3 linked regions of the Saccharomyces cerevisiae S288C genome follow. Changing the gene in region 3 together with the main gene of any one other region gives a genetic interaction. Each region holds a gene or a part of one and is shown on either strand. Other genes may lie near its edges. The genes, in order: MOB1, CDC15 and NET1.

Region 1 (3,655 bases), on a different chromosome or scaffold from region 3:
GTCCTAGCACGCATGCTGGTCCAAACGAAAAAGTCATTATAAATGTTCCCATCTGTATTTTCATTATTCTTTTTTTGTTGCATGAGATTTTGATAAAATATTTCTCTCTGTCTGGCAATGAATTTTGGTAGACTTTTAGCAAATCTTAGACCACGAGGAGTCAAATGGGAATTTCCGCCTATACGGCCACTAACATTATCTTCGCTCTCGCCACTTCTCGTTATCCAAATTTGTCTGTCAGCCAAATTGAAATTTAACAAATAATATACCGTCTGCGAAGCTAAAAACCCTTGAATATTGTATGCGATGACTTTCTTTCCCACATCTATCATTTTGATGTACTGCAAATTTTCGTCATCCTCAATTGGTTCATAGGCTTTCAAGTAGTTTGCCAGGCGACTTTTAAAATCTTTTAAAGAGCTTTCAGGATCTTTACCTTTGTAATCTGGACCAAATAATTTGAGTCTAATATTTTTCTGTACCAGTGCATGATCCGAACAAACAGATTCTAAAAATAAAACCTTCAAATGAGGACTTCTCTTTCTGATTCTAGCCAGAACGTTTTTTCTTCTTTCACGAGAGGTATTTGTAGCATCAAAAATTCCCACAGATCCTGAACCTTCTAATAAATAATCTAGCAATTCATCCAGAGTATCCATGGCCCATTTGTCTCTCAACCTAGTAGAGTCGGCGTTTTTCGGCTCGAAAAACTTTGAATCCTGGTCCTTTAGGCCATGCTCCTTAGCAAACTTCCTTCTAGTGTTACCGACATTAAACACTTTACAATAGTATAAAGAATAATTTAAAAATCTGGATAATTTATTTGTAATAAATGACTTTCCCGTAGCTGGCAGTCCGACCATGACAATCACTAACTTTGATCCACTATCTTCCTTTGATATGAGACCATCTGGAGATGTTTTAGACTTTGTTAAACCAGGAACATCGATGGTGGTAGGTCTTCTTTTATGGTGTCTCGTAGGTGATTTAATGTCTTTCAAATCAATCCGAGTTACCTCATTTGCTCCATCTGAAGGAGGCATGTAGTCAGTAGTATCGTTTGTGGGAATTTTAGCATTTTTTAGTTGCGTTTCGTCGTTAATATGCAATCGATGTAGCGATTTCAAATTAGTAGCGCTATTTTCAGGAGAGTCAGAAGGTGTATTTTCTTCAGTGATTCCAGGAGAGTTCCAATTGCTCGATATAGGAGTATCGCTCAAAGGTCTTTTCTGAAAAAGTGGTAAGTGCTTAGATAATTCATCATGCGGACCCTTTTCAGCATCAATTTTATCATCGGAACTCCGGGATAAAAGATCATAACTGGAGTCTTGACTAGGTGCCACATGGTGTGGAGATTGTGTAGGAGCAAGATCAATATCAGGCGGCACAGGAGATGTTTCAGAGAAGTCTACTGGTTTGAACATGAGCTTTTATTCCTCTTGCCTTTGTTCCCTTGAATAAACCCTTCTTCTACGCCTCTTGTTATTATTTTTACTCTTTTAGCTTATGGCACAAAAGTACACAAATAGATACTAAAAGGCGAAATTTATTTCACTTGATTTACCCGTAACTGAATACTTGAGTTTGTCTATATATATATATGTATACCTTTTATTGTTAAAAAAAGAATATGCCAACAAAATCTATAATAAATAGTCCATGTACTCCACTATAAATTAATTTGCTATTGTCAGTAATGGCGCGATTAAAAATAAATAGGAAAAGAAATCTCTCCTCAAAAAATCTTATGTCCCCTAATTTCCGTATGTTGTGATTTTGGTATTCAGAGATGATCACGTGATATAAACGTGATTATTATTATCGGTCGGGTATCCCACTCGTATAATATGACAAATACGTTCGATCAAAAGAAGGGTAATACTACTTCCCAAAATGGAAATATCAAAACGTTAGAAGAATTACAATTATAGCTTTGGTAACATTACTGATCTAAAAGAGCCTTAGCTCAGCCCGTTTGAGCTGTATAGATATTTTTTTAGTTTATTCGAGAGAAAACCGGTTTTTTTGTTAGTATCTTCAACAAAATTTTCCTAATTCAATAAGGACTTCAATTTCCATGTCTTTTCTACAAAATTTGTATGTTGCTATTTTCTTTTCTACTTCAAGTATTATTGTTCATCTTTTATTAACAAACTGGGTATGAGTTACCTTTTGAAAGCAGTCATATAAGTCCCGGCCAAACAATAAGATCTACTAGAGGTTTCAAGTGGAATACTGCCAATGCAGCTAATAATGCAGGCTCTGTATCGCCTACTAAGGCAACTCCCCATAACAATACTATTAACGGCAATAATAATAATGCCAATACTATTAACAATAGAGCAGATTTTACAAACAATCCAGTAAACGGATATAATGAAAGCGACCATGGAAGGATGTCTCCCGTCCTCACTACGCCAAAGAGGCACGCCCCTCCGCCTGAACAATTACAAAATGTAACGGACTTTAACTATACACCATCGCATCAGAAGCCGTTTCTACAACCGCAAGCAGGTACGACAGTTACAACACATCAAGACATCAAGCAAATTGTGGAGATGACACTGGGGTCTGAGGGAGTCCTTAACCAAGCTGTGAAGTTACCGCGTGGTGAGGATGAGAATGAATGGCTAGCGGTTCATTGCGTGGATTTTTACAATCAGATTAATATGTTATACGGGTCCATCACAGAATTTTGCTCCCCACAAACATGCCCGAGGATGATAGCGACGAACGAATATGAATATCTTTGGGCATTTCAAAAGGGTCAGCCCCCCGTTTCGGTAAGTGCCCCTAAGTATGTGGAATGTTTGATGAGGTGGTGTCAAGACCAATTTGATGACGAATCTCTTTTTCCTTCCAAAGTCACCGGTACCTTCCCGGAGGGATTCATCCAACGAGTAATTCAACCAATTCTAAGGCGATTATTCAGAGTTTATGCGCATATTTACTGTCATCATTTTAATGAAATTCTTGAACTAAATTTACAAACCGTACTAAACACAAGTTTTAGACATTTTTGTCTTTTTGCACAAGAGTTCGAACTACTAAGACCGGCTGATTTTGGTCCGCTGTTAGAATTAGTGATGGAGTTGAGGGATAGGTAGTATTGTATATTTATATAAGTCTGCTTGTAGGTTGTATTCTTCCATGCATGGGACACAAAAACAAAAATACGGAAACATATTAATATAACATATGGATGGAAGGAAATAAAAACATTCTAGTTTACTATACTTGTATTTATGATTTGAAATCGTTTATTGGAGTTTGAATATAAATATTGGGAACTTGATCTTGTAATTCAGAATCATTAGTATCAGGTAATGAAGACATGGATGTATTCGTATTTGTTTGATTGTCCAATTTTGGTGTTACCGTGGACCCCACATAATTACTATTTATATCATCGTTTTCATCATTTTCTACCATTGTGCTATTGGCATTACTCAGCTGATACTTATTAATGCTGGTATGGTTATTGGTTAGCTTGGGTTTCCCATCTGAATTCAAGTTTAATTTTTGTGTTATGAATTTATACTTGTCTTGTATATTCGAAGTAGATGTTAAGATCTTCAAATTATCAAACCAAGACATCATTGATTCATAAGAATCGGCTTTAAAAACCCAATTGTGACCACGACGAATTATGCCG
Region 2 (3,757 bases), on a different chromosome or scaffold from region 3:
GGAATGTGGAAGGCATGAGTGTGAGATGGGCGACCAGTAAGAGCCCATGTGTGCAGATGTAGTTGTTCAAAGTTTCATATAAATACAGCGGCTTGATCAGCTTTGTTTGAGACATTTCTCTGTTCTTTTCCTTCCAGTTAAGCCTATATCATCACTAAGCAATAACCCAAAAAACAACAAATACAATGGTCAAATTAACTTCAATCGCTGCCGGTGTCGCCGCCATTGCTGCTGGTGCCTCCGCCGCAGCAACCACTACATTATCTCAATCTGACGAAAGAGTTAATTTGGTTGAATTAGGTGTTTATGTTTCCGATATCAGAGCTCATTTGGCTGAATACTACTCTTTCTAAGCTGCTCACCCAACTGAAACTTATCCAGTTGAAATTGCAGAAGCTGTTTTCAACTACGGTGATTTCACCACCATGTTGACTGGTATTCCCGCCGACCAAGTTACCAGAGTTATCACTGGTGTTCCATGGTACTCCAGCAGATTAAAGCCAGCTATCTCTAGTGCTCTATCCGTAGACGGTATCTACACTATCGCAAACTAGAGTCCCTGCTTTACGAATGAAACCTGTACAGGTATGAGAGGTTACGAAAAAAAATGATAAATGAAAAAAAAAAAGCTTAATAATATGAAATTAATAGTATGAATAGTTAGGCGCATGTATATAAATATAAATTTTTGTATATATGTATTATTAATATTATAAATTTCTTATTATTAAACCATCCTTTACGGAAATAACGGCCTATTCCCTTAGTATTTTGTTGTAGCTCGTGGAGTTATCCATTTTAAATGGATCTTGGGATAATTTTTACTGCTTCCCTCGTACTGGGAGCTTAATACACGTTCGTCTTGTTATCATCATAAATATGTGTTTATTATTCTCGCCTGGAAGGAAATCTTCAGTATAAATTCGTGAGGAATTTAGAATATAAATAATTCAATCATAAGAAAACATAAAAAGATCAAGTAAATAATAGAGGCATACAAGCATAACCAAATAGTACTATAAACAATTTTAAATTACACGTAAGAGATAATGGGTTATAAAGTATGTTTTTTTAAGCCATTACTGCAGCGTTCTTTATCATTATTTGAGTTCGAATGTGGAAAATGACGACTGAAATTTATAAGATAAAATATTCGAACTATATAGAAGAAAATTTTACACTCTTCGCCTTTGAAAAACATGAGTGAATGTCCTTGATCGTTATTTGGCCTTCTGAAACTGTCCATATGGGTTATTTTGAGTTCCTTATAAAGGCTTGGCGCATTATCGAATATCGTTTAGTAAAATTTATGATCCACTTGCATCGGCATGGGCATGAGCAGTACTCATTACAAAATCCAAATCAGTGATATTTACAGTAGTCACAAATTACTGTTATTTTTTATCCATTTTTGTAGTTTTTGTACAAATATACTATTGGAAATAGAAAAAAATTCCTTTGAAAGGATCAATTTTAAGTGGTAAATAGAATGAACAAGCCCAGGACAATGGATTCAGAAGGGGCCTTATCGTGTCTCATAGATATTTTTCTTCTCGGTAACCTTTCAGTAATTTCTTGAGCACGAACTCGAAGCGTTTCATCAGGTATTTCATAACTATGCATGATTTTTGATGGCTTTGCATCATATTAGAAGAAAATTTTGCAGCTGAAGAGCTCTAATACGGCTTTTCTGTGGTCGTAAAGACAAGGCTGTTCATAACGCTTGTTGCCATTATGTAGCTTTGCACATCTCATATCGGTAAGGATGTCGTTTGTCATCTAGCGGCGAACTACTGTAATGTAATAATGTCCTCTGGCGTCGTGTATGGAAAAGAGGCATAATCAAAATTGGGCCTATCAACTCATTAGCACTCTATGCTATACTGTAGTGCTCTGTGCGGACTTTGCTGTGCCATTATAATCCTTTCCACCTTGCGATGGTCTTTCCGCTTTTCTTGCTGTTATTTTTGTATACGGGAGATCTGCCTCACAAAAGGTATATCTTCTACTTGGAGGCTCGAGGAAGGACAAAACACACATAAGCACTACCCATTTTCCTGGTAAGACTATACCATGAACAGTATGGCCGATACCGATAGAGTCAACTTGACTCCCATCCAGAGGGCATCTGAGAAATCCGTGCAATACCACTTGAAGCAGGTCATTGGGAGGGGTTCTTACGGGGTAGTTTACAAAGCCATTAATAAACATACTGACCAAGTCGTGGCAATAAAGGAGGTCGTGTACGAAAATGATGAGGAACTTAATGACATTATGGCAGAAATTAGCTTGTTAAAAAATTTAAACCATAACAATATTGTTAAATACCACGGCTTCATACGAAAAAGCTATGAATTGTATATCCTCCTCGAATACTGCGCTAATGGTTCTTTGAGGAGGCTCATTTCAAGGAGCTCTACCGGATTAAGTGAAAATGAATCGAAAACCTATGTGACACAGACACTATTGGGGCTGAAATATTTACACGGTGAAGGAGTCATCCACAGGGACATCAAGGCGGCTAACATCCTGCTGAGTGCTGATAACACTGTCAAACTTGCTGATTTTGGCGTTTCCACTATTGTGAACTCCAGCGCCTTAACGCTAGCGGGCACACTCAATTGGATGGCTCCAGAGATCCTGGGCAACAGGGGAGCTTCTACGCTCAGCGACATTTGGTCTCTAGGTGCCACTGTAGTTGAAATGCTCACAAAGAATCCACCCTACCACAATTTGACAGACGCCAATATCTACTACGCTGTTGAAAATGATACCTACTACCCACCTAGCTCTTTCTCTGAGCCACTAAAGGATTTCTTATCTAAATGCTTTGTGAAAAACATGTACAAGAGGCCGACAGCCGACCAGTTACTCAAGCATGTGTGGATCAACTCTACCGAAAATGTGAAGGTCGACAAGCTCAACAAGTTCAAGGAGGACTTTACCGACGCTGATTATCATTGGGATGCCGATTTTCAAGAAGAGAAACTAAATATATCACCCTCTAAATTCAGTCTTGCAGCGGCTCCCGCTGCCTGGGCAGAAAACAATCAAGAACTAGATTTAATGCCCCCCACTGAAAGTCAATTGCTGAGCCAATTGAAGAGTTCATCTAAGCCTTTGACGGACTTGCATGTGCTTTTCAGTGTTTGCTCCCTCGAGAACATCGCTGATACAATTATCGAGTGTCTGTCGCGCACAACTGTTGATAAACGATTAATAACTGCATTTGGCTCCATTTTTGTTTACGATACCCAGCATAACCACTCTAGGTTGCGACTGAAATTCATCGCTATGGGAGGAATTCCACTGATCATTAAATTCGAACATTTAGCCAAAGAGTTCGTCATCGACTACCCTCAGACTTTAATTGAATGTGGAATAATGTATCCTCCGAATTTTGCATCGCTGAAAACCCCAAAGTATATTTTAGAACTCGTCTATAGGTTCTACGATTTAACATCCACAGCCTTCTGGTGTCGCTGGTGTTTCAAACACCTCGATATATCACTCCTTCTGAATAACATCCATGAAAGAAGAGCCCAATCCATACTACTAAAGCTATCGTCATATGCACCATGGTCTTTTGAGAAAATTTTGCCCTCTTTAATTGACTCTAAGCTAAAAAAGAAAATTTTAATCAGTCCTCAAATTACTTACGTAGTCTTCAAATCAATAAACTATATGATAACCACGAATGACGATAAAATACACAAGTCCGCTATTCCTTCTTCTTCCTCTCTACCGTTATCCTCCT
Region 3 (3,757 bases):
CTGCTAGCCGCAGACGATACCGTTGTTGTATACCCTTGCGCTACAGCGGGCATAATACTGGATGAGATGGTGGAGACTGTGTCTGATGTAGTTGAGGTAGAAGAGGACGAGGATGAGGACGAGGAAACAGTGCTTATAAGTGGTTCCACTTCCTCTGCAAACTCACCCAGGTAGTTTCCAGGAGGGTTGTAGGAGCACACAATATAATTGTTCCATGTCGTACCACAATATTTATAACCACATCCAATCTCGGCGGTTGACTTCCAAACCACCTGTGTGAAGTGACCCGTGGATTCAGAAAATCCGGGATTTGAATAATTATACTTGCTTATCTCCCCGTACCAGGCGTCCACCGCTCCCGTGTCTGTGTAACCAAGGGCAAGGTTCTCACCATATGGGCCATCGGAATGCGTTAAGACACCCGAACAATCATATTGGTCGGCGTAGTTCTGCGCATAGGTGGCCAGAGTGTCGGACCAGGTGAGCGGCGCTGTGTCAACATGTAGCGCTCTGAACTTGTTATGCTCGTTCAGCACATCGCTCTCGAAGTTTGGAAACGTGGTTTGTGCCTTGACGGCTACTAGGCATCCTAGCAGAACTGATATTGGAAACTCCAGCATAAGCGTTTTCGTTTTAAGTTGTTTTAAGTTGTTTGGAGTTGCAGGGGTGCAGCAATTATAATTTTATGCCGATATTGGTTTGGCAACTACCGAAAAGCAAGAAGCTAAAAACTTTGAAGTATAGAATATGTTTTAGAGAATTCTTCGACCGAGTTGAAACATGAGAACTGTTTCATCGGCCCTATATAGCAATTACATCCTTCCGTTGCTGGGTCCCTGCCTAGATACCATATTTGTTGTTGAATTAACCGCGGGAACCCGCAATATACGAAAGACGAACACAAGAGAGCAAGCACACACAGCTAGTGCGTAGCGTTGCTAGCTATATTGCCATGGTACCTACCTTTCACCTCCTTGTTAAATCCATAAGTGGACGGTTTTCCTAAACCAGTATTTATCAGTTCTCGAGCACGCAGAGAAAAGTAAACGAAGCGACCTGCATTGCGGTAACTATAAACACCCAGCCGCCTCCAGCAGAACCAGCCATGTGCGAAGAAAAACAATTTTTCGGCCAAACTTACCAACAATAGCGACGCGTTCCTCACATCGTTGGGTTTTTTTCGCCTCTCTTCAAGTTTCCTATACCCGAGCTTAACACAACACAACGGACCCTCTTAATTAGAGGTATCCTCCGTTCTTTTCTTCCGCTTTCCTAATCGAGATACCAGAGCACGGAACAGGACCCTAGTGCATCGGAGAGGAGATCCGTGGCACGCTCACTGCGCCTTTCACTATCACCGATTTCGTAATTCGAACAGGAGTATTTCGCTGCAGGGGAATTACTGTTTGTAGACGAGGGAAAGCAATTATCAGATACATGCCAGGGATAGCGTTCAAGGGGAAAGACATGGTTAAGGCAATACAGTTTTTAGAAATAGTCGTTCCTTGCCACTGTACGACCTGAACTTTACTCAACGAAAAAAAAATTGGAAAAAAAATAGTGCATAACGTTGCTATTAACAGATGTAGTACTGATATGTCCCTGATTGGTGAAGAGTCAGAATGATATAAGCCTATTTGATATGTACGTGTACGTATTCGAAAATAAGATTTGTTTCTCGTAGGGAGCGATATGTGCATTATGTTACCCGTTCCACATGTTTTGAACTTTTTTTCTTTTTCATGGTAAGCGTCAATAATCAATTTGAATAACTAGTGAAGAGTAGCTAGCACGATGAAATAAGTGCCGGAGCTGATCGAATCCCTAGTCTCGGTTCGCCTGAAACAGAGAGAAGTCGATTACTGTACACCGTGCCTCCTTCTATGTACAAGCTACAAGTGGTCTTGGTGCCTCCGAGTCTTCAGGCGACGATGCCAATACAGTTTGGCTACGGACCAACCATCGCCGAATCTTCTCAATTGTTGCCAAACAGAACTAATATGGCGCAAAGCGCCGGAGATGCCTCTTTGCAGTATGCTAATCTGAGATCTGCCAATGTGAGTTTCACGCCAAGCTATTTCAACCAGTCTAGGTTTAGGAAGTTTCTTTTGTTTACCAAGCCGACAAACACGCTGTTGAACTTGAGTGATGAAATCATCGATAAGTGTGAAAAAATGTACCCGAGTTTGCAAGAAGACATTGAAATTTTGAGTTTGCAAGATAACAGCGGTTGTGACCTTGATCCGGATTTTTTGGTAAAGGACGTTTTCAATGTAAATAATATCGTAAGAGTTATATTGAAGAATGAGATAGATCTGGACGATTCCGCACCAGTGTCACTTTATAAGTCGGTAAAACGATCCAAGTTGAACAACGGGTCGCCCCAGTCGGTGCAGCCGCAACAACAAATCCCGTCCTCTTCAGGTGTTCTTCGGATTGCCAAGAAGAGGCCACCTACAGGAACCACGACAACAACAACCATTCGTAGTGCCACTAATGGATCCATGAGGGTTTCTACCCCATTGGCTAGGCAAATTTATCCTCCACCTTCTTCGAAGATCGTCTCCAACAACTCAGATGACGAAGACGAAGACATTGGTGAAAGATCCTTTTTGCCGCCTCCAACGCAGCCTCAGTCACCTCCCATAAGAATTAGTTCGGGCATTGACGCAGGTAAAAAAATAAAATCAAGCATCGTCGAGGAAGATATCGTGTCCAGATCAGCAACCGTGGATCCAGATAAAACAAAGCAGCAACGTCTATTGTCCGGAACTCCTATAATGTCCACCATGACTCCAAACAGAGTTACTCTTACCGGTCAGAGAGTGGTTTCTGAACACGCACATAAAAACGAATTGGTTTTCTCTGCTTCAGCTTCTTCCTCTTCATTTGCTAATGGTGGCACAGCTGCTGTCACTGCTCAGGACATTAATAGGAAACCACCCGTAACCACTCCAAGAATAACATCAGGAATGTTGAAAATCCCCGAGCCAAGAATCTCAGAGATTGAAAAAGAGTTAAAAGAGGGACCTTCCAGTCCGGCCTCCATTTTACCCGCTAAAGCTGCAAAGATTCCAATGAAAAAACCTTACTTGGAAAATGGCGAGAACTACGAATCCGACGATAGCTCAAGTAGCGAAAACCAAGAAACTCCTGAAACAGAACCACATTCAAAGGCTTCCTTGCAACGTAGTCAAAGCTCCATCGCAGATAATAATGGCTCTCCGGTGAAAAATAGTCCTCTCGGTGATGCCATGCCACACAATGTGCATTTAGCAGAACTTCCCAAGGCAAGCAATACCTCGATCACCAAATCTTCAAATGGCGAATCCTGGGGAAAGCAACAAGAACATCAACCACCAAGAAAGAGTTCACTGGAAACTATAGTGGAAAAGAAATCTCAGGCGGAACCTTCCGGTATTGTGGAACCGAAAAGAATGACTAATTTCCTAGATGATAATCAGGTAAGAGAAAAAGAAGATACGAATGATAAACTTTTAGAAAAGGAAATTTTGCCGACAATTCCACATAATGATCAGCCAATACTTGCATCATCTGATAAGTCTAATGGGACGTTGAAATCACTAGCTGGGAAAGTTAGTTCAAACAACAACGCTTCAAAGGAAGATGGCACTATCATTAACGGCACCATTGAGGACGATGGCAATGATAATGATGAAGTTGATACTACGGTTCGTATTGTTCCTCAAGATTCAGATTCCTCTAGTTTCCCAAAGTCAGATCTTTTCAAAATGAT

Evidence for each region.
Region 1: of NET1 (region 3) and MOB1, a mutation in one rescues a mutant of the other (synthetic rescue), as found in Saccharomyces cerevisiae (2 studies listed by BioGRID).
Region 2: of NET1 (region 3) and CDC15, a mutation in one rescues a mutant of the other (synthetic rescue), as found in Saccharomyces cerevisiae (3 studies listed by BioGRID).

The regions. Positions count from the first base shown.
Region 1 is NC_001141.2:164,338-167,992, forward strand, and holds MOB1 (Mob1p), read left to right. Parts: upstream 1-2,077; coding exon 2,078-2,097; intron 2,098-2,182; coding exon 2,183-3,107; downstream 3,108-3,655. Other genes in the region: PFK26 (6-phosphofructo-2-kinase), read right to left, coding at 1-1,424; SLM1 (phosphatidylinositol 4,5-bisphosphate-binding protein), read right to left, coding at 3,244-3,655; YIL105W-A (uncharacterized protein), read left to right, coding at 3,327-3,467. UniProt on the Saccharomyces cerevisiae protein: Functions as an activator subunit for the DBF2 protein kinase. Binds to DBF2, which is required for the phosphorylation and activation of DBF2 by the upstream kinase CDC15 in late anaphase.
Region 2 is NC_001133.9:173,452-177,208, reverse strand, and holds the start of CDC15 (serine/threonine protein kinase CDC15), read left to right. Parts: upstream 1-2,073; coding exon 2,074-3,757. Other genes in the region: seripauperin PAU7, read left to right, coding at 186-353. UniProt on the Saccharomyces cerevisiae protein: Protein kinase of the mitotic exit network (MEN) essential for late nuclear division in the mitotic cycle. Promotes mitotic exit by phosphorylating DBF2 and directly switching on DBF2 kinase activity.
Region 3 is NC_001142.9:293,362-297,118, forward strand, and holds the start of NET1 (Net1p), read left to right. Parts: upstream 1-1,883; coding exon 1,884-3,757. Other genes in the region: PRY3 (Pry3p), read right to left, coding at 1-620; YJL077W-B (uncharacterized protein), read left to right, coding at 686-784; ICS3 (Ics3p), read right to left, coding at 1,305-1,700; YJL077W-A (uncharacterized protein), read left to right, coding at 1,438-1,524. UniProt on the Saccharomyces cerevisiae protein: Has a role in chromosome maintenance and is involved in mitotic exit. Inhibits the action of CDC14 by sequestering it in the nucleolus. Also binds to RNA polymerase I and stimulates rRNA synthesis.